Rattus norvegicus: one gene and its partners. The protein of the gene in region 2 interacts with the protein of the main gene of each other region in a pairwise test. Links are inferred from orthologs where the notes say so. Each region holds a gene or a part of one and is shown on either strand. Other genes may lie near its edges. The genes, in order: Smc3, Traf3ip1, Smc2, Golga4 and Sptbn1.

Region 1 (4,146 bases), on a different chromosome or scaffold from region 2:
CCTTAAGGTATCTAAGAACTTTAGTGAAGTTTTCCAGAAGTTGGTACCTGGGGGAAAAGCGACCTTGGTGATGAAGAAAGGAGACGTGGAGGGCAGCCAGTCTCAGGACGAAGGAGAGGGGAGCGGCGAGAGCGAGAGGGGCTCTGGGTCACAAAGCAGCGTTCCATCAGTTGACCAGTTCACAGGAGTCGGGATCAGGGTAAAATCTCTACACTCAGTTTTTCTTGTAGCATCGTCATAGTAGAGTTCATGTTTCATTTTACCTGAACTGCTCATGTGCCCCTTAGTTTTGGTGGATGATGGTGTCATCTCTTTTGAGGTGATAACACTCTTTGTATTCTCTTAGGTATCATTTACAGGAAAGCAAGGCGAGATGAGAGAAATGCAGCAGCTTTCAGGAGGGCAGAAGTCTCTGGTAGCCCTTGCTCTCATTTTTGCCATTCAGAAGTGTGACCCTGCTCCTTTCTACCTGTTTGATGAGATCGACCAAGCTTTGGATGCTCAGCACAGAAAAGCTGTGTCAGGTACAGTTCTAATTTCTACTCAGTGAGGACTTAACTGTGGGCTGGGGAGATGGGGACTAAAGTGCCTACCATGTGAACAGGTAGCACATGGAGACACGATCCTGGGAACCCAAAGGCCAGCCAGTCGAACCCAAACCAGGGGCTTCAGGTTCAGTGAGATGGGAGGCCACCAAGACAGCTCAGTTGATAAAAGTTCTTTGCCACTAAGCCTGGGAACCTTACTCCAGTCCCTTAGTCCCACGGAGTGGAAGAAAACTAATTCCCATAAGTTATCTGACCTACACACGCGTACACACAGAGCCATGGGCTTGACTGCATAACCTGGGCAAGGTCGCCCTTGTCTGTGTTCTTAGCATTCAGAAGGTGATCAGTTGATGGCCAGTCTGGGATGCACTGAGCCCTGTCTCCTTGAGATGTCTTGATGATGATGTCGCTTAGCCCTTAGTCATTCGTTAATGCGAGTACAGTATATATTCAATATCCTTTCTCAGAATAGTTTTAATAGTTTGGTATTAGACTGTTTTCAGAGTTTACTTTTGACAGATAGTAATTAAATTTTCCATTAAATTTTCATACAAGAGCCTTAAAACTTGACTGTCTTTTCAGTGTTAGTAGTGCTGTGGGGTTGGAGGTGACTTAGCAGTTAAGATCGTTGCCTGCTCTTGCAGGAGAACATAGGTTTGGCTTCAAGCAACCATACGGTGTGGTCATGGCTGTCCATAATTCCAACCCCTTCTCTGACTGACTGAGGGAGGGTACGGGCACACATGTATATCTGCAGGCAAAACATTTGTACAGAAACACCCAATCTTTTATTTAAGATACTAAGTCTGATCTTACAGGTTGAAAGCTTTTGGAGGGAGTGACGTTAGGAAGATAGCTAGCATTAATTTTGTGTGTACAAGAAATATGTGGCTCTACCATGTCAGTGCTAAAAGTCTCCTATTTCAGGGTTGTGTTGTTGTGGTGTGAGGCGGTGTCGTGTAGCGTGGCCTAGAACAACCTCTGATCCTCCTGCTCCCCCAGTACCACCACTAGGCTAGAGGTCTGCTTATAGTGATAAGAATGTGGCACGCAGTCTGTGCTTTGAAAGTCTACTGGATAGTTTGTAGACAATAAAAATCATGGGCGGCTTTGACAGATTTGAATTGTAGACAGAAAATAATTAGTTGTTAAATTCTCAGGTGTGATAAGAGGTTTATTAGTTACTTTGTTTTCACAGATATGATTATGGAACTAGCTGTACACGCCCAGTTTATCACTACCACTTTTAGGCCTGAACTGCTTGAGTCTGCTGATAAATTCTACGGTGTAAAGTTCAGAAATAAGGTAATTTTACTTGGTTTTAGGTTGATGTTTATTTTGATTTTGTTATATTAGAGAAAGAAAACTTAGAAAGTTGTTATTTAAATGATGTCTGCCTCAAAAATGGAAAACTTAACTTTCACCCATTTGTTACCTTGATTTTCATTAAGAGGAAACGCTGTGGGTGGTGACTGCTGGTCTAGCGATCATAAGGCCTTGGGTTTGGTCCTCAGCAGCCCCCAAACAAGTCACCGTAGCTCAGGCTGCCCAGGTGGGCAACCCTGCCCCTGCCCCTGCCTCTGCCTCTGCCGTGCTGGGATCAGGCGTTTTCCCCTTCCACACTCAACAGACAGGGCTGTGAAGCCTAACAGTCGGCGCTTCAGAGCCACTGGACGCGGTGTGTAAGATTCAAGGTTGTACAGGCCGTAGGCTGTGTATGTTAGATGCCACCCTGTGCGGTGCAGGCTCTCACGTGTGTGTTTCTTTGAGACGTAACAGCCTTTCGCACTGACTGTTCTTCAGGTTAGTCACATCGACGTGATCACAGCAGAGATGGCCAAAGACTTTGTAGAAGACGATACCACGCATGGTTAACTGAAAGATAACGCCTGCCGTCTTGGAAGATGTGTATAGTAATGTGGTCCGTACCTGGGAACTGTAAATTTTAAAAATAATAATTGGTTATTACTGAGTTTTTGGATTTAGAATACACAGTCCTTTTATACTTGTCTTTGTATTTTATAAGCTCCCCTGTAATGTTACATTTCTACGTATAGTCGAGGAATTTTATTTCCTACACGACTTTTTGTAAGTGTCCTCCTATTTTAAATCTTTTGAGATTCTAAATATTCCCAATTATTTTATAGCTTCTATTAAATAATTGGTTTGTGACTAACTTAGTGTAAATGTGGCCTTTTGTCTTTGTAATTGTTAGAAACATTCAATAAATATTTTGCATAAGAACACGTTGCTTTCGATTAATAGAGGACTAAAAGTACAGTTCCATATTCTGTTCATTACATCACTGGGTTTTCAAATCTGTTTTGAATTTTCCAAGTGTCACAGTGCTAAGTGTTTTGGGCTAGTCCAGTCAATCCTGAGGGAATGCTGTCCCAGCCACCTTGTTTAGAAGTTCCTTGGGTGGTGCAGTCTTGAGGACTGCTAGCCCTGCTGTTATGCAGCATGATAAGGCCTTTAGGCATTTTTGTCTGTGTGTACATCCATGCACCAGAATAGGGTACTGAGTCTCAGGGGGGTTATAGACATTTGTGAGCCAACACAGGACCACTCAGAGCTACCAGTGCTGCTACCCCTGAGCCGTCTCTGCAGTCCCCCTCAGCACTAAAGTTAATGTGACTCCACTTTCACCAGAGTCATGGGTTTGGGAAAGCAGTTTTAAGTGGGATTCAGATGCTGATGCCACAAATAAGTGAGCCATGCAGTTTCCTTGCTGCTGAGTCAGGGCAGTTTCTGGAGAGAGACATTTTTATACTGGCTGGGGAGGCAGCTCCGAGAGCCCGTGCCTTGCACGGCTGAGCCCTGTTCAGTTCTAGGACCACAAAAAAGTAAACTTGTATTGCTGAGGCCACGTTCACCGTGAGGTCTTTGGGGGCCTTTGTCTTTAACTGGCTTTGCCATTCACACACCATAAAATTCACCATGTGTGCCCGTGTGCAGTCCATGATGTTAGTGCACCGAGGATTGCACAGTCATTTTCATAGTTTTAGAACTGTAGGTATGAATGGACTCACTCCTCTCAGCCTCTGGTGACCACAATGGCTTCACAGTGTGGTCAGTTCGTGTGGATCATACGGACACCGTGGCTCTCACAGCACAGTGTTGGCGAGGTTTGCCCCTCAGGTAATGGGTCAGTCCTGTATTGTTTCCCATTGCAGACTGTCCTGCTGGGGATATGCACCGAGCGAGGCTTGCTTATCCGTGGTCCTACCTTTCGCTTCTGTAGATAATGCTGCCGGGGTGTGTGTGTGTGTGTGTGTCTCCTGACTGCCTAGAAGTGCTGGCCGTGTGTGTGTGTGTGTGTGTGTGTGTGTGTGTGTGTGTGTGTGTGTGTGAACTTGTTTCTCCTGACTGTCTAGGAGTGCTGGTGTTTGTCACAGACTAACTAATTTCAACATTGAGGGCCGTCAGGCTTTGCCTAAGAGAGTCCATCTTCACAGACACTTGCTGTACACCCCCTTTTCTTTATGTGAGTGTGAAAGTCTCAGTAAAGGTTTTAATCTGCATTTTTCTGAGGACCAGTGATGTTAGCAACTTTTTTATGAACTTTTGTGTTTGTCACTCATTTGTATATGTCTCT
Region 2 (5,580 bases):
GTCTGTCTGTCTCTCTCTCTCTCTTTTCCTCCAGCTTCCACTAGACTGATATGAAGCTCAGCAATGGAGGTGTAAACATCTGGGACTGTACGTTAATAATGGGGACTTTGCTCTGTACCCCTAACTTAAATGACAGGCGAGGCCTCTCACTTGTGGGAGGTACCTGCTTCTGCTGCATGTCTGCTCCACAGACACACTTTTGGTTGCCACAACCAGGGCTGCAGACTTAGAGAACAAAAGCTGCAGGGTATTCAGTTTTGAATTTCAAATAAAAGAATGAAAAAAAACTGCCATGAATTTCAAATAAAAGAATAAAAAAAACTGCCATAAATTTATGGTAAAATGTTTTACCTGGAATTCAGATGGAGTAGACATCCTGTAGGCTAGTAGACTAGTAGACAGATAGTAGACTATCTCTAGGCTACATTGATCTTCTCTGTATGACTCCTGCTCCCTTCCTGCTTAGCCAAATCCAGGCCCTTGCCCAAGCCTGACCCACATCCTGGGCTCTCAGCAGAAGTGAGGTTCAGCATCCTCAGTTCTTTGTCTCTGGAAATGTTTGCCTCCCAGCTGGGGGAGGTAGGGCCTGGAAGACACTTCGCTTTGTGGCTTCTGTTTCCTGGGGTGAGGCACAGCCATCCTTATTTCGTTCATTCACTCAGAAACTGCTCATATTGAAAGCCTCCCCTGCCAGGCTTTTGAGTCAGAAACCCCTTTTCCATTCTTCATCAGTTACCTTCTACCATGAATGAGTCTTTACAGTTTTCTGCTTCATTTCAGAGGGTGATTTAGGCCCCTACTCTGCTGACCCCCCCAAGACTGATGGCTCCATGCTGGCCTCTGTATCCTTCATTGGGGACGTCCCAGATCCAGATATCTTTCTTGAAGCAGGAATTGGTTACATCTTCTGGGACCTGCTTTCTTGGTGACCAGAATGTTGTCCACTCTTTCTTCAGTATGGAGGGGTGGGCTGGACCAGAGGCAGGGATGAGGCTCTGGAAGATGGAACTATACTCTTCAAAGTTGCTTCCCCTAGGTCAGTCCTCAGAGGGGTTGGCTGACAATACTTCCTGTCCTGGATCTCCTCAGAGACTTGGATACTCAGATAGGCTGGAGGCCTTCTGATGGCCCGCACTCCAAAAGAGCAGCCAAGACCTGTATTCTGGGCCTCCACCATAGTCCACTTACTGTCCTGCCTCCACAGGCTGTGAGAGGTTAAAGAATCACCTTCCCTTTGCTGTATGGTCTAAGCTCTAGGTCCTCAGTAGAGTTTCCAAGGTCAGAGGTATCTTAAGTGATACCTGTGTTCCTGCTCCCATCTGGTCCAGCATCACAGACAAGCCGGTTGCTGACCACAACTTTTACTTCACACCTACAGCAGGATTCGGCCAAGAGTGAACTTTCTAGGGTAGGTGCTAGGTGGGTCTGTTCTTCGGGGCAGTGTTTAGAGGCAGGGCCTCTGCTCTCTGAACTCTGTCCACTCAGAGACCAACTCCAGCTGGGGCTCAGAGTGAGAGGGCTCTTAAAGAAGTTTCTGGTTCCTCGGGTGTGGCCATGGTTGGCAGATCAGGAGCAATGTCCTAATTGGGGTTCCACCAATTTGGGCGGAGGAGCTCAAGATCTTAGACACAGCAGCAGCCCCCTATCTTGAAGCGCCACCTCCTACATTGCCTCGGGTGGTGACATGGGTGGAGGTGGGGTGTGTGTGTGTGGAGCAGAAAACTGCAGCGTCCTAGCCTAAGGGCCTAGTTACTTCACAGCTTTGTGCCCGCCCTGGTGAACTAAGGACACAGAAAATGTGAAATGACACAGTCCTTCCCCTTGGCATTATTTTCAAGATAACCCAAGGCAGGGGTTACTGTGCAGGAAACAGGAATGAAGGGATGAATGGAGTCAAGTCCATTTTTCAAGTTTAAGTGAAATGTTATTTTCCTAGTGGTTACTGTAAACGTTAGAAACAAATGATCGCTCTTTTCTCACACGGAATGGCCGGGTCTCTGTGCGGCGCCCTACGGTGCGCGGGGCGGGCAGAGCCAGGTTCAGGTTCAAACAGCCACAGAGGTGGAGCGCGCTTGTCCTCCTGCACAGCTAGAGAGGCCGGAGGGGATGGGCGGGGCCGGGCGCGCGTCCGTTGCCAAGGCCGCGCGGCCCTAGAGACCCGGTGCTGGTGGCACGCGCAGGCGCAGTGGCTAGCAGCGGTGCACTGTGGGATGGGAGACCGGCGCGCCGGGACGGCGGGCATCTCGAGGCACCGGGCAGAGGCGCGGTGCGCGAGGAGAGGCGCGAGCGGTCGCGGGCGGCAGCGCCATGAACGCGGCAGTGGTGCGGCGGACGCAGGAGGCTCTGGGCAAGGTTATCCGGAGGCCGCCGCTCACCGAGAAGCTGCTCAACAAGCCACCGTTCCGCTACCTGCACGACATCATCACTGAGGTAGGCGCCGACTAGTGCGGGTCAGGTCAGGATCCGGTTGAGATGGGGTGAGGGTAGGGGTAGGTGTGGGACGGGTTAAGGGTTCGAGTAGGGGCGGGACGTGTTGAGGATTGGAGTAGGGTATGGGACGGGGTGAGAGTCGGTGTCGAAGGTTAGGGTTAAGTGCGGGACCGAGTGAGTGTTGGGGTGAGGGTTCAGGTAGGGTAAGGATCGAGGTAGGATGCGCGTCTGAATAGGATTTGTATTGGGGTGAGACTCAGAATTAGGGTCGGGCCAAGATGAGGGACTAGGTAGCGTGAGGGTCGCGTTGAGGGACCGGGTAGTGTAAGGGACGTTGTAGGGTGACAATCAGGGTTCAGGTCAGAATGAGGATTAGTCTCAGATGAAGATGAGGATCAGGTCAGTGGGGAGATCTGTGTGACAGTCAGTCTCCGAGTGCTGACTGGATTGAGAGAGTGGTGAGGGGTGGAGGTGCAGGTCCAGCTGAGGATCAGGGTCAGGGTTAGGCTCCAGTTGGAGTCAGGGTAGAGTAACTGGTGCTGGTCAAGTGGTTTGGGTGGAGATATAAGGCCTGGTTCAGGGTCTAGGTTTGTGGGTCAGGGGCTGGAGCCAGAAGCTGAGGCTGGGTGGTGGTGGAGGCCAGGGATGACATCGGTATGTGAGGGAGAGCCCTGGGGCAGAGTCTAGGCCCAGGGTCAAGTTGCTGTTAAGGAGCTGGAGTGTATGTTGGAGTTCTGAAATTGTGTTGTGCTTATACTTGAGGCCTGGGTAGGGTGTAGGTCCTTGTCTGGGGCCTGGGCAAGAGCTCTCAAAGGTGCCTTCCATGTTAGGTTGCCAGGCCCACTAGGTCTTGGGACTTCAAGGAGCATGTCTTCCATTTGTTAGTGAGTCTCCAGGGAGCTACATAACACTGTACAGTAGTCACAATTGTGTGGAGTCTGTTAGGGTTCTTGGTAACCCTAGAGTGTCACTGCAGGGGGTGAGCACAATTGGCATGGTATTCCAGAGGGTGCTGTGGAACTCAGGGTGTGGTTGGGACTTAGAACTGTCAGTCTCCAGAGCTCAAGTTCTCTCCTGGTGTTGACCCTCACAGACTTTCTTGTCTCAGGAGGTTGAGCACTGTAGTCTACCCTTCTCTTTACTCATTTTGGCCTCCTACCTTACTTAGCTGGTAATGGGTACTTTCTCGGAACAGGGCCCCTTGCCTGTCAATCTTAGGTGTGTCCAGAAATGCTCTGGAATCCACCCACATCCCAAGGGGCTCTGCTGCCTGGTAGCCTCCTCTCCCAGACTGGGAGGCATTCGTAGCCTATCCTGGAAGGTCTGAGAAAGGGACTGACCCTTTCTGTGAGTTCTGTGAGAAAGTGAGTTTTCAGAAATGTTAGATAGGGATGCTCTGGTGGTCTGTGTGCCAGCCAGCTGTCTCTTCAAAATGACCTAGCACAAGCCCAGCCGAGCCCAGCAGTTCATCTTTCTGTAGTTTGCTGTGAGATGGACTCTTCTAGATTAATTAATAACTAGATGATGCAGCCAGAGTAGCTGTAGCCACATCCCTGAGGAGGTGACACTCACGCGGGGATGTCTTGCTGCTGGTGTTTTTTAAAGCCTGCCTCCTGTACCCATGGTAACATGTTTCTATGTATTGCAAGTCTGGTCATAAAGTCCTTACTAAGCACCACATTCACATTCTTGATGTCTTTTTTTTTTTTAATTTATTTCTGTTACCTGTCTTACTGATTTTTTAGTAACTTGCACTTTTGAGAATCCAGGACTCTGGCTGGATGTAGGGGCATTGGCGGATCAGAAAATTATTGCCCTTCTGTAGTGGTAACTAGGGCTACAGGAAGAGGCCCTGTGGAAAGAGAACAAATATGTTTGGATGGGAGAACACTCCTTTATGGTAGAAATGAGGGACTCTTCAGGAGCTTCTGGTTTCAGATACTCAGGCTAAGTAGCTCCTTTTCTTTCTGGAGTCCATTCCCGTGGCTTGGTCTGAGTGCAGTGGGGAAGGGTTGTGTGGTCAGGTCCTCTCAGGCCTAGTGTGACTGATTGCGGCGTCAGGTTCAGGGTCCTGCCACCCCATTTGGCTTTCATCCGTCTAATGAAACCTGTTGGACTGAACTTGGTGGTTGTTTTCTTTTTGTTTGGTGTGTTCTTCCCAGCTTTTCCTTGCAGTCTCTGACCTCAGTGGGATGCTCTTCCAGTATCCCTTGGCCCTCCTTCCCCTACTGTGAACTTCCTAACACCTGCTCAGTGATGGTAGTCTTGGCTGTCTCATAGCTGGCTGTTCTCCAGGCATCAAACCTTTGTTGAGGAAGGAGATGAAGATTAGAGCTGTAGGTGTGACTGGGTCCTGACCTCTCCTCAGTGGGGTTCAGTGGATGAGGTCAGTGAAGGGGCTACGGAGTGAGGTGAATGATGGTCCCTCTCTGTTTGGCAGGTGATTAGGATAACTGGCTTCATGAAGGGCCTCTACACAGATGCTGAGATGAAGTCAGATAACGTCAAGGTAGGTTCCCTTTCTCCACACTCTTGCTTTGCAGAATAGAGCCCATTTTATTCTGGGCTCTATTCATTTATTTATATGGCTGCACACTCCTGTGTGCCGTGTCTACGCTGATAGATGTGGAATGCAAGGCTGGTGGATTCCTGAGTTATATGTACCTTCTCTTGTTTCATTTTCCCATTTGTGACAATTGCATGCTATGCTAGATTTATCTACTGAAAAGCAGAATTAGGGGCTGTAGAGGTAGCTGGTAAAGTGCTTGCCATGCAGACGTGCAGACCTGGGTGGTATCCCCCAGCACCCATGTGAAAAGCTGGCTGACGTGTATACTGGTGATCCCAGAGCTGGAGAGGTACTCGTTGACCAGGTAGCCTAGGGAAATGGGTGAGCTTTAGGGCCCAGAGACGTTGTCTCAAAACACTGAATAGATGGTGTCCTGAGGTGAATCTCTGACCTTCACATGAACAGGCACATGTATGTGTGCGCGTGTGAGTGTGTGCAATAATCCCACCTTTACAGCCACATGTATATGCATGCATATCCATCTATACACATATACATACAGAACATAAAGAAATGTGAAAAAAAGCAATATTACAACCAGATGTGGAGATGCATAGCTATAAGCCCAGCACTCAATGACT
Region 3 (5,025 bases), on a different chromosome or scaffold from region 2:
ACAATGTTGTAGTAGACACAGAGGTAAATGGATTTTAATTAAAGAAAATTTAAGATTAATACTCTGACTTAAAAAAAGAATCACGTAATGCTGGAAAAGTTGTGTGCTTTTGTAGCTCTCCAAGCTACTTAATCTTTTTAGTTAATTTTCTGACAAATTTAATTCTTATTTATTTTCTATTTTGCTGTGCATATTTATATTTGCATTTGTAAAATAATCTGTCAGTTTTTATTACAGTAACATTTCTGTGTGTGTTATTTGCTTGCACACACAGTGTATATGTGTGTGTACACACAGAAGCCAGGAGAAGGCATCCTCCGTAAACATTGTATTTCCAGATGCAGTTCCCTTTCTGATTGCAGACTTGCACCCCTTTACCTGCTTCTGTGCGCTTGCTCCTCCTCACCACACCTCGCCTCCTGTTCTAGCTACATCAGCTTTTCCTTTTAAGATGCTGTATGCAGATGGCATTGTACAGTAATTTTTCTGACATACATCACTGAGCAAAACACTGATCAAATTCATTTACATGCCCACAAAAACATCTTTAGTAAGGTTGAATTATAATTATTTTATATACTTTGAAAATCTACCTTGGGAAAAACACACCACGGATATATTTATTTGATAATGTATTCCTAAACTTGTATACATTCCATTATAGTGTTTTTTTCTTACAATTTAATATGTCTGTTTTAGGTTACTGGTAAGAAACTATTAGAAAAGGGGGAATTGAAGCGTCGATACACAATAATTCCTCTCAATAAGATTTCAGCCAGATGTATTGCTCCTGAAACTCTGAGGGTCGCTCAGAATCTTGTAAGTCTTATTGTCTTAATTAAATGTTTATCTCTTCTTTTAGCTTTAGGAAATAGTAATTTTAAGGGATATACTCAGGTAGAATTCTGGTCAACTGATAAGATGGCCCCTATTGTAATGTATCTGCTAATAAGAAAATAGATGTGTATAAGGAAATACATTTTTATTTTACCATACGTTTTTATTATTTTTTAAAAGAATTAGTTTTATTATTATTTGTTTTATTTAAGGATGTGTATGAATATATGCTCATGTCCTTGGATGGCCTGGAGCAGGGGTTATAAGCTGCCTGACTGGGTACTGAGAACAGAACTGTCCTAGAGGAACAGCTAGTATTCTGAACAGCCTTCTCTCTAGTGCCCCATTTTGGGTGTTGAACACTGACTAAAAACATGAAGCTGGGCTGGAAAGATGCCTCAGCTGTTGAGAGAACTGGCTGTTCTTCCTGAGGATCCAGGTTCCATTCCCAGTACCTACGTGGCACCTCATTAACTCGAATTTCAGGGGGGTTTACCACACTCATACAGGTATACATGCAGGAAAACACCAACTCACTTAAAGTCATTTTAAAGAAGAAGCCAAATATGTCTTCAACAAAACGAGCTTATTAGAGAGTAGCTTTATAAGGGTTTGAGTTTGAGTTATGTGAAACCCAGAAATGGCATTGGTAGTTAAGACACTAAGCAGATAGTCAGTGTCTTTAGTATTATTGAGAACATTTCAATCAAATAATTTCAAAATGCCCTTGTAGTTGAAAGTGCTTTTTAGTTTCGTGGTGAGTTGGAATTTCAAACACCTTCAAGAACGCTTTGTCTTAGAGTTTGTAGCGAGGTCTGTTAATGGTGTCTGCTGGATCAAAAGAAGTTCTGAACATGGTGCTATTATTGTTGTTTTGCTCTTGTCATAACGATGCTAAGTTTCTGAGAACATGGGAAAGTGCATGAAGAGACTGTGATTGCAGTGGAAGACTAGGGCTTTGCCTGTTCTTTTATCCTTTCGGTTAGTCATTGCATTTATTTTTGGTTTTTGAAAGTGGCTATAGTTCATTTGAATAAAAAAGCATTCACTGAAACAAATTACTAATAATTGAAACCAAATATTCTGTAACTATGCTGATAGAGAGATTACTTTCATTAATAGTTGTATTTATATAGGCCATTTAGATGTGCAAACTTGGTATTGCCTTCTTGAAAGAAACTTACAGTGCTTAGGAGTTTGTGTTTTGTGGGGGATTTTGCTGTTGTTTTTCTTCCAATACAAAGTTTTTCTGTGTAGCCCTGGCTATCTTGGAACTTGTTCTGTAGACCAGGCTGGCCTCAAACTCAAAGATCCACCTGCCTTTGCCTTCCAAGGGCTGGAATTAAAGGGGTGAGCTACCCCCACCCTAGCGCTTAGTATTTAAACTGTTTCAGTTGGTGATAGGTCTTCCAGTGTTAAAATTTACTGTAAATAAACAAATTATCACTAGGACTGTGTAATTTATATATTATTGCAGTTTTTACTAGTTTATATTTCAAAGAAATGTGTCCTGTGATACATATTTTGTTTCCCTGTAGGTTGGTCCTAACAATGTTCATGTAGCTCTTTCCTTGGTTGACTACAAACCAGAACTTCAGAAAGCGATGGAATTTGTCTTCGGAACAACATTTGTTTGTAACAATATGGATAATGCCAAAAAAGTGGCCTTTGATAAAAGAATAATGACCAGAACTGTAACCCTTGGGGGTGATGTATTTGATCCTCATGGAACATTGAGTGGAGGTATGTTGTGTTAACAATTCTGTGGTAAATAGTTTGTGCCTCTGAGGCTGTTTCTCTATCTCCCAGTTGCTTTTTAAAGGACAGAATAGTGTCAAAGCCCTTAAATGGCTTATGATCCATTATCATGAATCAACTCAGTAGCTCATTCCTCTAAAGTCATTCCTGTTTGTTCTTGGTCCAAGAAGGCTGGCCACACTCACTCCAACAAGGCCAGAGCTCCTAATAGTGCCACTCCCTGGGCCAAGCAGATACAAACCATCACAGATAGTGGTGGACATAGGGGCTTGCTTCTGCATACTTTCTGCTCAGTTGCAGTCACAAAGGTTTTTTTACTTTGTAAAATCTTAGCCTTATTACCCATTTTCCCAAGAAATTGAATAACTCACTTTGCAGTGTGCTGTTATCCATGTTGAATCTTGAAAATGGTGCCTTAATGAATTGAAAGTAATGATTATTCTCTAATACTCTGGCCTAATAATATAATAACAATGAATAATTATTCTGTACCAGAAAATATTGAAAACAGTGTTACCCCAAGTACAGTATCCACTAGCCACATGTGACTTCACAATTGATAAAATGAAAGTAATTGTTTTTACTTGCACTAGCTGCTTTTCAGGGTCCTAAAACAAATAGTGAACTCGTAATTGGATAATACATGTATAGTGAATTTTATAAAGCCCCAGTCTGTGAGCCTTATGAATATATAAATATGAGTCTGTATATTGTGAATTTATGAATACATAAATAATCCTTAACTTTAAGATAGGAATATAATATCAGTATATTAATCAGAATATCTCTGATACGTAGTGGCAGAAATTAAAAACCACTAGTTAAGTAACTTAGTAATTTGCACAAGTTTGGAGTTAGAATCCCAGAAGTCTGGTTGTAGCTTGTATTCTTCACCTAATTTAATATCTCTTCAAATGTTCATTTGAAAGCCTTGCTGTCGTTTATGTATATGATGATGCATGTGTGTTTATGTGTGTGGTTGTCCTCAGAAGGCAGAATCTGGCATCAGATCTCCAGGAGCATGTAGGTAGTTGTGAGCTCTCCAGTGTGGGTGCTAAGAACTAAACTCTGCTTCTGTGCATGAGCAGGAAATACTCTTAATCCCTGAGCCATTTCTCCAGCCCAAGACTTAGCGTCTGTGTAGGCCAGTTGTATTAATTAAGTGATCAAGTATCCCACTTCTAAAACATCATCAATGAGTACTGTCTGCATAGGAGATAATAATGTAAAGCAGAAGACAGTCTTGAGAGTTTGTTTCAGATGTGCTTGGAGTTTCTGTTTAAGCAGTGCCATGTGTATGATACTGTATTTATTAGCTCTAATGGCATCCTTCCATCCAACTACAGAGCTTCCTTGTTAGCATAGTATTTCAAACTGTCACTGCTAGATGGGTATCTTTGCCTGTACAGTATGTAAAGGCAGTTTATTCTGATGATTTTCCTGCATCTCGAGAGTCTCAGGCCAAGTTATAAGGTGGTAACATAATAGCTCTGTTGGCTTGAGCTCGTTTATCTCATACATATTACATTTACACAGGTCATTTGACTCTGCTGCCTGGTCTCGTACCGTAACTCCTTCTGAAGAATTCCTCTGCTCAGCATGTTTTCCTTAGGGCAAATGGTAAATTATATACTAACGCTCAAGGGTTAGGTTTTATTTTCATTGGACAGAACAAATCACATGGCCAAGTTCAGTGTCTGGAGTGAAAACTTTGCCTTAGCAAGATAGATCCCATAGACAGAACAGTTATTTTGATCAGTAAACTACCACCATGTCTACCAAGGATTGCTTTTTATCAGTTACGTGTTTATTAAGACTTGGGTATTGGAGTAGACTCCTTCTCATCATAAGTTCACTGCAGGGTTTGCTGTTTCATCATTTCTAGTATAATTCTTTGAGAAAAGAATGTTTACTAAGGATATGGTAACTTCGTATCCAAATCCTCTGTTAACTCAATCCAGGTGCTAGGTCCCAGGCGGCTTCTATTTTAACCAAGTTTCAAGAACTCAAAGATGTTCAAGCTGAGCTGAGGACAAAGGAGAAAGAACTGCAGGCTCTGGAAGAGGAATTGGCTGGTCTTAAAAATGTCGCTGAAAAGTAAGTCTGTATTGGATTAAGCTATACATGTTCTGCATGATGGAAATTTATTGGAATTTGACTATCTGATTATTTTTAATGTTAGAATATATTTTGAGTTTAATTTTTTTACCTACTTTTTTTTTCTGATTTAAAAGGCTATCTTTGTTAAAGAAATTACCAGAGTCTAATTAAATACAAAAGAAATCCTCTTCTTGAGGAAATGTGTGGTGATGTTGACCAGCTGGGCGTGGCAGGGCGTGCACTGATATACGGGCACGCTCCATCCTGAGATCTTAGAGTTTGTTTGCTCAGTGTGGTGTAGCCTTCGGTGGTTGTCAGCCTGAATGAGCG
Region 4 (5,025 bases), on a different chromosome or scaffold from region 2:
AGGCTGCAGCAGGGCGAACGGGAGGCGGCGCCATCGCAGTCTGAGGTTCGGCACAGGGAGCTCTCCGTGAAGTTAGATCGCGCCAGAGCCAAGCAGCTCGAGGATCAGGTTTTGATAGGATGTCTTCAAGAAGAACTGGAAGAAAGGATGAAGTGTCCCTCAATTCTGTCCCAGCCCATGGGAGAAGAAACCGGTAAAAACAACACAGGGCTGAAGCAGAATTGGGCAAGTATGGTTGACACTGTCCAGAAAACGCTCCAGGAAAAGGAGCTGAGCTGCCAGGCCCTGGAGCGAAGGGTGAGAGAGCTGGAGTCAGACTTAATAACAGAGAGGGACGCCCATAGGCTTGAAGTGGAAAAGTTGACCTTAAAATATGAAAAATCACAATCTCCACAGCAAGAGATGGGTGGGAAAAATACGTCTGTGGAAATTTTGGAAGACAGGCCTGAGGAAAATTCCAAATCCCATGTGATAGAATCGAAACTGGGGACCCCCATGGACGGCCGGCACAGTGACCTGGAGTCGAAGTTAGCAGGGTCAGAGCGGGAAAAGCAGAAGCTGAGCAAGGAGGTGGGGAGGCTGCAGAAAGATCTCCGAGCTCTGAGAAAGGAGCATCAGCAGGAGCTGGACATCCTGAGGAAGGAATGTGAGCAGGAAGCAGAGGAAAAGCTCAAGTAAGTGTTCCCAAAGTCCACGTGTGTGTGTGTGTGTGCGCGTGTGTGTGTGTGTGCGCGTGTGTGTGCGTGTGTGTGTGGGCGCATGGGCACATGCGATGTATAATGTAGACACTTCTACCTGCCCGAAGTATCACATAAGTCTGCTAAGTTAAGTAGTGAGGAGAAATGACAATTTTGGGCTGGAGACAGGGTTATTCCATGTCCGTTTAGGGAACACAGCTTTTGCTGCAGGTAAGATCACAGCTGCTGGCTGCGTGTCTTAAATAACAATCTCATTGCTGTTCTCTTAGGAGTAGCCTTGTGACTGTAGCACGTGTATCTGGGAGAAGTTTAAAGTAGGAAGGAGCGGGTCTCCAGAGCCCAGGTTAGTGCTGAAGGTAGTCATAGTTTTTCAGTCTTGCAGTGTGCGCACTGTTGTGTACACACACACACACACACACACAATGATTTCAACAGCAGTGAGGTCTCATTCTTCTGAAGCCTGTTTCCTGTTTGCAACTTGCTCTGTGGAGGCAGCAGTCATCGCTGTCCATTCTTGTTACTCAGACAGGAGCAAGAGGATCTTGAGTTGAAGCACAGCTCCACACTGAAGCAGCTGATGCGGGAGTTTAACACCCAGCTGGCACAGAAGGAGCAGGAGCTGGAGAGAACTGTCCAGGAGACCATCGGTAAGCAGCTTTAAGCTCAGCGGGAACGACCCTCAGTTGGAACTTATTGTCTTTTCCATTGTAGTGGGCACTGTACGCCATTAAACTCAAGGGAAAATGGCCCTTGTCCAAACAGTGCTCCTGTTCTCCGGAAAGTCCTCCAACCTGCCTCACCTGTTACTCCCTTGCCTTTGGTGAGAAGCAGCATCTCCCACACCTGTTCTGCTGCATTTCATCAACTTTAATTGAAATGAGAAATTCCTCCTGTCCTTGTCGTATAGTCACACACGTGTTCTCATGTGTGTCTGTCCTTTATTAGATAAGGCCGTATAGTCACACACGTGTTCTCACGTGTCTCTTGTCCTTTATTAGATAAGGCCCAAGAGGTGGAAGCTGAACTTCTGCAAAGCCACCAAGAAGAGACACAGCAGCTGCATAGAAAGATTGCGGAGAAAGAGGATGATCTGCAAAGGACGGCCAGAAGATACGAGGAGATACTTGATGTACTGTGTTCTCATTCTCTTTGAAACATAGCAGTGTTTTACGGTGGTGCTGAGTAGTCTGGCTTCTCTCGTGCACAGACGTCTGAGAGAGAGACTGAAGTGAGGCTTTGTGCTTGGGTTAGGTCTGAGAACTAGAGCAGCCTGTGTCTGAGGCAGCTCAGCCTAGCCAAGGTCTCCCCAGAACAGTAACCAACCTCCTTCCTTCCTTCTCCACTCACTTCAGAGCTTGACTGTGTGGAGAGGGGGATTTATCAGCTGAGCGTTTAGTGTTCAGTAGATGCTATTCAGAGTGGCTTGGCAGTAGCAGAATAGAGTAAACCATAAACGAGAGGGAGAGCTTGGACCACAAGCATGTTTTCAGATACAATGCTGTCACTTACTCTTTGGTGGTGTGTTACTCTGTAAGACCTCCAGGCCTTACTACGCCGTACGCCAGGAGACACTTGTTGGTCCCAAAGAGCCATACCTACTTTGGCTGTGTCAGCAGTGCGTGTGTGAGTGAGGGATGGACAGCAACGGTCATTGCTTTAAATGCAATCGAACTGAGTGAAGTCTCAGGATCTGGAGTGCCATCTTTGTGCAGCATGTAAGCTTTAAATCTCATTAGGAAAATTAAAGTAATTGCAAATTTGTGCTGAATTTTAAAAAATACAGTCAGGGGGCTGAAGGGATGGCTTGGTGGTTAAGAGCTCTGACTACTCTCGTAGAGGATCCAGGTTCTGTTCCCAGCACCTGAATGGTGGTTCACAGCTAACTAACTCCATTTCCAGAGGAGTGGTGTTTTTCTGTGCTCTGTGGGCACCGCACATGCATGGTACACATAAATTCCTGGCACATAGATAATAAATGCATTGTTAAGAAACCCATTGATGTGTTGGTGCCAAAGATTCTGGCACTTCAGGAGCTGGGTTAGGAGGATCAGGAGTTCAAGGCCAGCCTGAGCTCAATAAGACTTTGTGACTCCTTATGGAGTGTTTTATGGCCCAGTGTATCTAGTGCACCTGATGTAGAGTGTAGTTCTGTCTTCTCACATCTGTTACTGTGCTTTTGTTTTGTTTCTATACAGAAGGAAAGGCAACCTTAGTATAGTTAAACGATTTGCCTAACACTGTCTATTGAGTTCCAGAATAGAGATTCATCATTACCTTCACACATTTCATAAATGTCCCAAGAAAGGAACTTTAAGAAGGTAACAGCTAGTGTGTGTGTGAGAAAATTCAAGCCTGAAAGCTTCAGGGAGGGAAGTAGCTCTTTTTTTTTTTTTTTTTTTTCCTGATTCCTCCTCTGTATATGGACATGTGGGTGCTAAGGGAATAGACTGTTCGCCTCTGTGGTCTTGGGTGAGGAACAGGAAGATAGGTAGCTGCAGTACTCTGGAAGCTGTGGAGGGAAGTGGAGAGCAGCCCTGCAAGCTGCATTTGTGGGGCAGCAGTGTACGGGGACTGACTGACTGACTGACTGATGGATTGAGGTGTGTTCTTGCCCAAGGTCCTTCCTCAGTCTGATGGCTAGCATGGCCTTTGCACACTTAATAAGTGAGCATCTTCTCAGAGCTGCATTTTAGAAAGGGGGCTTCATTTTAGTAGTATGTATCAGTTGGTTTACCCAATCAGATGGAGTGCTTGCCCTGTGAGTCAGCATGGGGGTACAGGCCAGCTCTGAGGACTCCGAGCAAAGCTGCTCTGTCCTCCTTTTCCCGCTGACAAGTTGCAGCCATGCTGACCATAGGCTACTGCACTTTCCTCGTCCTTTATGATAGTCCGTGATGTATTAATAGAACGTTTCAGCCCCCTCCCGATCTTAGATGTTTCTTTTTGTTGTTGGTTTGGTTTGGTTTGGTTTGGTTTGGTTTGGTTTGGTTTGGTTTGGTTTGGTTTGGCTTGGTTCGGTTTTTTGAGACATGATCCCATGTAGCTTGTGCTGGCCTTGGTCTTACCGTGTTGCTGAAAATGGCTTTGATCACCAGCTTCTACCTCCTGTGCAAGGGCTGTTGGCCACCCTTTCAGGTAACATTCATACCTCCCACATATGAAGAATGGAAACTTGCTTTTGCTTCACATGTCGTTAGGCATGTGCGTTATACACAAGTGCATTTGTGTAGTTAGGGTGACAGATGTGTGTGTGTCCCTGGCATGGTGTCAGCATGTGCTGTACTCTCAAGACCTTGTCACAGAGTCATGACTCGTGTTCTGCCTCTCTGGACTGCACTGTTGCTGCCAGCGAACGCTGTCCTCTCATCCAGTCTGCTGTGGTCACCTGATCTCCTAGCTGCTGAGCTCCCTTCCTGTCAGTGTGTGTCCTGTGCTGTCCTCTGACAGTGCAGGTGCCCAGGGAGGCTGTGCTCTCCATGAGGTCTGTACTAGCCTCAGCTGGAGCCAGCTCTTCGCTCGCATCACCGTTGCCCATGCTCCGAGTCTGCATGTGATACCTCTACTCTGCGGCTTGTGTGGCTGTGCTGGTCGGAATGAGATTGGGTCTCGTAGGCTCCCATATTTGAACAGCAGTCTAGTCGGTGGGTGTTTGAGTAGGATTAGCAGGAAGTATGGTTTTGTTGGAGAAGGTGTCACTGGGAGTACCTTTGAGGTTTCAAAAGTTCATGCCAGATCAGGTGACTAGATCTCTGCCTGCTGCCTTCGGATCAGGATGTGGCTCTCAGCTACTGCTCCAGGGTCACGCATGTTGCCATGCTTCCACCATGATGAAGGCAGACTAAACCTCTGAAACTGTAAACAAGCCCCAAGTAGACGTCTGTAGGAGTTGCCGTGGTCATGGCATGTACAGTGACCCTGTCACAGCAGTGGACAGTAAGAGGCTAAGACAGCGGCATGCACGTGTCAGACATCTTCCTCAGTTGCTCTCCCATCTTGCTTCCTGGGGCTCAATCACTCACTGAACCTGGAACTCCCACGGTTGACCTGGGTTGACCCACAGGATCTTCCCACCAGTACTTGGGTATAAACCTGTACCACCAAACCTGGCTTTTTACTGGGTGCTGAGGGTCTGAGCCTGAGTCAGGACTGCTTGGCCAGCACTTTATCTGCTGAATCGGCTCCCTGACCTCTCTGTGCTGCATCTTTAAAAAGTTTTCAATTTATTTTTATTTAGAAAAACTTGAATCAAATACTCCTTTAAATATTTGAGAATGGTGTATAGTAAGAATCGCTTTCATTGTCTCTCCCTTTCTCTCTTCCTCCTTTT
Region 5 (3,879 bases), on a different chromosome or scaffold from region 2:
CTCCCACCAGTCTTTTAAGTTTATTATTTAGCTGATGAGAAAGTAGGTGCTCTGAGAGGTTGTAAACTGAGATGAAAATCACATCTGATTCCAGAGCCTGTGTGCTTAAATTACTATACACGTGGAGCATCCACCGTACATGTTGGAGGTGTCCACTGTACAAAGGGCTTGGTTACAGTCTGATGTTCTCGTTAAGTTAACGTATTCTAACGGTATGCCCCTTGCATACTGTTGGCGCACACCTGAGTCTAGCTCCCCCGAAGGGATTCCACAAACACTAATGACCCTGGATCTACCCTCTTGTCAGTACTGCACCACAAAAAAACAGTCACTAAGGCTGGGGGAGATTGTGCTTGAGAATAAGGAGCCTTGCCTGTGTTCCTGAACAGGAGTGAAAAGCTTCAAGGGCGACATGTTGCGGAAGGGACGGCAGCTCACGTGTCCTCCAACACAGCGCTGCGTCCCTCCCCAGGTGCTCCTTAGCCGTATGCACTGTTCCAAGGGGGTTGGGGCAGGGGCTGTTCCTCAGCATATGTTCATTTTATGTTGGAGAGGCTTCGTTTTCTTGTGAAGTTCTTCTGGGAAGGGTAAGCACAGAGCCTTGATACTCCTCTCTTTACTCCTCTCTCTCTGCTGTACCCACTCAGGTCCTGGCACAATGTTTATTGTGTCATAAATAACCAAGAAATGGGCTTCTACAAAGATGCCAAGAGTGCTGCTTCTGGCGTCCCCTACCACAGTGAGGTCCCTGTGAGTTTGAAAGAGGCCATCTGCGAAGTGGCCCTTGATTACAAGAAGAAGAAGCATGTGTTCAAGCTAAGGTGAGAGTTTGCAGGCTCGTGGCTGTCTGGGTGTGTTCATCTCACTGAGGTTGGCTCTCTCACAAAGGTACTGTGGTAGCCGTGTCTCCTCCTACTATTCTCAGTCCCTGAGAAAGCCTACTGGACTTGCTGGATTGATTCTGTGGGACCAAGGCCACTCTTGCCTGGGCCTGGTTGTGCATCTGGACCCAGCGGAAAAGGAGCCTTCGTTTCATGACCTGGAACACACTGTTCCCTGACATTGCTGTGGGCTGTTAACATTGCGGTACATAATGGGAGCTTTAAAAAGCCCATTTTGAGTCCTTCTGGCTTATGAGGACTAAGGAATTACCATGTTCGCTACAGATAGGTACTGCGAGTCATCCTAGAGCCTGAGGAAACCAACAGGAAGCACTTGAGTGGGACAGGCCATCCTCCCCAAGTCTTGCCACACTTCTGCATCCAAATGACTCCTCCTTGTGGAAGACACCCCCTCACACCACATCCACATCCATGACCATGGTGTTTGGAGATGGCCAAACCATTTTGTTTCTTAAAAGTGGATAAAGAAAAGGCAGGGTGGGTGAGAGGATGCTCAGTGGTAACGGTGCTGCTGCCAAGCCTGATTGCATAGCCTCCCTCCTCAAAACCCTCATGGTAGACAGGGGAGGAGAGGAGAGGAGAGGAGAAAGGAAAAGGAGGGGAAGGGGAAGGAGGACAGGAAACGTCCTCTTGTGTGTTATTTTTGACCTTCACGAGTGTGCATGCACATATTTTCAAAATACCTTTGTAAGTGCAGAAGTAAAGCCTCTTGACAGCCTGTCACTTCATGTGCTGCTGATTGGCTCTGTTGCTTTGGATCTGACGAGCTTCATCTTGGTTGGCCAGAGGATCACCCTGGGGGGACATGGTTGATGACCACATGCTGTCTTGAGGAATGGCCTCCCAGGTGTGGCTGCTTTCGTTCCCATGAGAAAAATCTAAAGGACTTTTTTTTCCATATCAGTTGGGCAACTCTAGAATTTGCAGATGTGAGAGACATAAACTCTGAAACTAGAATTTGAAGAGTATTCACCTTTTTTGAAGTCTTCTCCTGAATTTATTTTTGGTCAGCAATTAAGAATCCAAATGGCCATAACCAAACCAGACCTTCCAGAGGTTGGACTTTTTTGATCCTTCTGTTGGATTAAAGCACCAGATTGCCTGTGCATATTGGATTTATCTGGTAAATTAATGGCTTCTTATGATTAGGGACCATTGTCCGGCTAATGCCCCTCTCTAGGCCTGGTCAATAGCCCATGTAGAGCTCTATTGGTATCTCTGAGGTAAAGCCCACCACCTGCGTGTAACCCACCCTAGATTAAGGGGATTGTGGGGTTCTGTTTGTTTTGTTTTTTTTGTTTGTTTGTTTGTTTGGTTTAGGTTGGTTTTTTTGTTTTTGTTTTTTTGGTTTTTTTTTTTTGGTTCTGTTTTGTATTTTGAGACAAAGTTCCTCTGTGCCCTGGCCATTTTGGAAATCGAGCTATAGACCAGGCTTGCCTGGAACTCACCTACCTCGGCCTCCCAATTACTGGAACTAAATAAAGGTGTGCATCACCACACCTGGCCTGTATTTTTTTTAATTTATATTTTTTAACTTTCTAATATGAAATTGTCACCTACATAATTGTAAAATGTAATTTTCTTGAAATTACAGACTAAGTGATGGCAACGAGTACCTCTTCCAAGCCAAAGATGATGTAAGTTACTACTTGGTTTTGTTTTTTCACGTACCAAAGTTCATGGAAGTATTTGTGAGCTAAAAGAAGCAAATATCATCTTGTCCCTCCATAAGGAAGGGAAGCTAGAACAACATCCACTAGATTCAGTAGAAACGAGGAGCAAGGTCCTTGCCTGCTACTCCTTAGAACAAGGTACAGGGAGGTGGCCCAGGACTGAGTGTATCCTGATGCCAGTCTAAAGCCTGTGCACTGCACTGCATTATCATTAGCGTCTCCACCTCAGAAGACAGGGTCACCTCAGTGTCACAGCGTGTGTAGCAATTTAAATGTTAAAAGGCCCCTTCCACCACGAGAGATAACTCTGGAGGGGGCGTGAGGACTTGTAAGATGGCTTGGTTGGTGAAGGGCCTGCCACCAAAGCTGATGACCTGAGTTTGATCCCCAGGACATACTTTATATAAAGAGAGAATGAACTCTGAAAAACTGTCTTCTGATGAGTATAAACTCGTGTCTACACACACACACACACACACTGAAAAGGTTTTTTTTTTTTTTATTTAAGGAGTAAGAGCACTTTCTTAATGCGAGTGACGTCTCACAGCCTAAGATTAGCCTTCCAGCTTCTGTAGGTGTATATATCCCAGACTGACGGCCTGCACACAGCACTGGGGCCAGTCCATCTAGAGGCAGAGCCATAGCCACTCTGGTAGTGAGAAAGCAGATAGGCATTTAAGGACAGTGACTCTAGTTAGCGGCACTGCTGCCAAGCATTCCAGCTGCCAGGCATGGAGCATCATGGAGGTAAGACCAGGACTCCTCATGCCCACACCTCTTGACCAAGTCTTACCTGTGTCTTCCTCTGCGTAGGATGAAATGAACACATGGATCCAGGCTATCACCTCTGCCATCTCCTCTGACAAGCACGACACGTCTGCCAGCACCCAGAGTACGCCAGCATCCAGCCGAGCGCAGACCTTACCCACCAGCGTCGTCACCATCACCAGCGAGTCCAGTCCTGGCAAGAGGGAGAAGGACAAAGAGAAAGACAAAGAGAAGCGGTTCAGCCTTTTCGGCAAGAAGAAGTGAACTTCCCTGTTGTCCTTCCCTTCTCTTACCTTTAGTAAGAGTCCAGCATGCAAGCTCAGACCAACACATTACTCTGTGCCTAATGTTCCTCCATGTAGTTGATTTTCTTTCTTTTTTTTTTTTTAATAAATTTTTTAATTTATAGAGTATTTCTGAGGGTTGGGGGAAACATAACTAAACACTTTATCTCCAAGTTAAAAAAGTTTGAGGTACAGAGGGAAGGCCAGATTTTTTAATGAAATTATATAGATTAGATCTCAGTATTTAAACTG

The links.
Region 1: the proteins of Traf3ip1 (region 2) and Smc3 interact in a two-hybrid assay, tested with the Homo sapiens proteins (2 studies listed by BioGRID and IntAct). The link is inferred for Rattus norvegicus from reciprocal best matches to the Homo sapiens genes TRAF3IP1 and SMC3.
Region 3: the proteins of Traf3ip1 (region 2) and Smc2 interact in a two-hybrid assay, tested with the Homo sapiens proteins (2 studies listed by BioGRID and IntAct). The link is inferred for Rattus norvegicus from reciprocal best matches to the Homo sapiens genes TRAF3IP1 and SMC2.
Region 4: the proteins of Traf3ip1 (region 2) and Golga4 interact in a two-hybrid assay, tested with the Homo sapiens proteins (2 studies listed by BioGRID and IntAct). The link is inferred for Rattus norvegicus from reciprocal best matches to the Homo sapiens genes TRAF3IP1 and GOLGA4.
Region 5: the proteins of Traf3ip1 (region 2) and Sptbn1 interact in a two-hybrid assay, tested with the Homo sapiens proteins (2 studies listed by BioGRID and IntAct). The link is inferred for Rattus norvegicus from reciprocal best matches to the Homo sapiens genes TRAF3IP1 and SPTBN1.

The regions. Positions count from the first base shown.
Region 1 is NC_086019.1:262,647,041-262,651,186, forward strand, and holds the end of Smc3 (structural maintenance of chromosomes protein 3), read left to right. Parts: intron 1-7; coding exon 8-199; intron 200-346; coding exon 347-524; intron 525-1,746; coding exon 1,747-1,853; intron 1,854-2,351; coding exon 2,352-2,423; 3' UTR 2,424-2,792; downstream 2,793-4,146. UniProt on the Homo sapiens protein: Central component of cohesin, a complex required for chromosome cohesion during the cell cycle. The cohesin complex may form a large proteinaceous ring within which sister chromatids can be trapped.
Region 2 is NC_086027.1:99,518,988-99,524,567, forward strand, and holds the start of Traf3ip1 (TRAF3-interacting protein 1), read left to right. Parts: upstream 1-2,188; 5' UTR 2,189-2,307; coding exon 2,308-2,430; intron 2,431-4,870; coding exon 4,871-4,939; intron 4,940-5,580.
Region 3 is NC_086023.1:71,622,198-71,627,222, forward strand, and holds part of Smc2 (structural maintenance of chromosomes protein 2), read left to right. Parts: coding exon 1-23; intron 24-699; coding exon 700-819; intron 820-2,375; coding exon 2,376-2,580; intron 2,581-4,556; coding exon 4,557-4,692; intron 4,693-5,025. UniProt on the Homo sapiens protein: Central component of the condensin complex, a complex required for conversion of interphase chromatin into mitotic-like condense chromosomes.
Region 4 is NC_086026.1:127,141,098-127,146,122, forward strand, and holds part of Golga4 (golgin subfamily A member 4), read left to right. Parts: coding exon 1-674; intron 675-1,223; coding exon 1,224-1,345; intron 1,346-1,696; coding exon 1,697-1,827; intron 1,828-5,025. UniProt on the Homo sapiens protein: Involved in vesicular trafficking at the Golgi apparatus level. May play a role in delivery of transport vesicles containing GPI-linked proteins from the trans-Golgi network through its interaction with MACF1. Involved in endosome-to-Golgi trafficking.
Region 5 is NC_086032.1:108,043,458-108,047,336, reverse strand, and holds part of Sptbn1 (spectrin beta chain, non-erythrocytic 1), read left to right. Parts: intron 1-647; coding exon 648-821; intron 822-2,496; coding exon 2,497-2,539; intron 2,540-3,388; coding exon 3,389-3,607; 3' UTR 3,608-3,879. UniProt on the Homo sapiens protein: Fodrin, which seems to be involved in secretion, interacts with calmodulin in a calcium-dependent manner and is thus candidate for the calcium-dependent movement of the cytoskeleton at the membrane.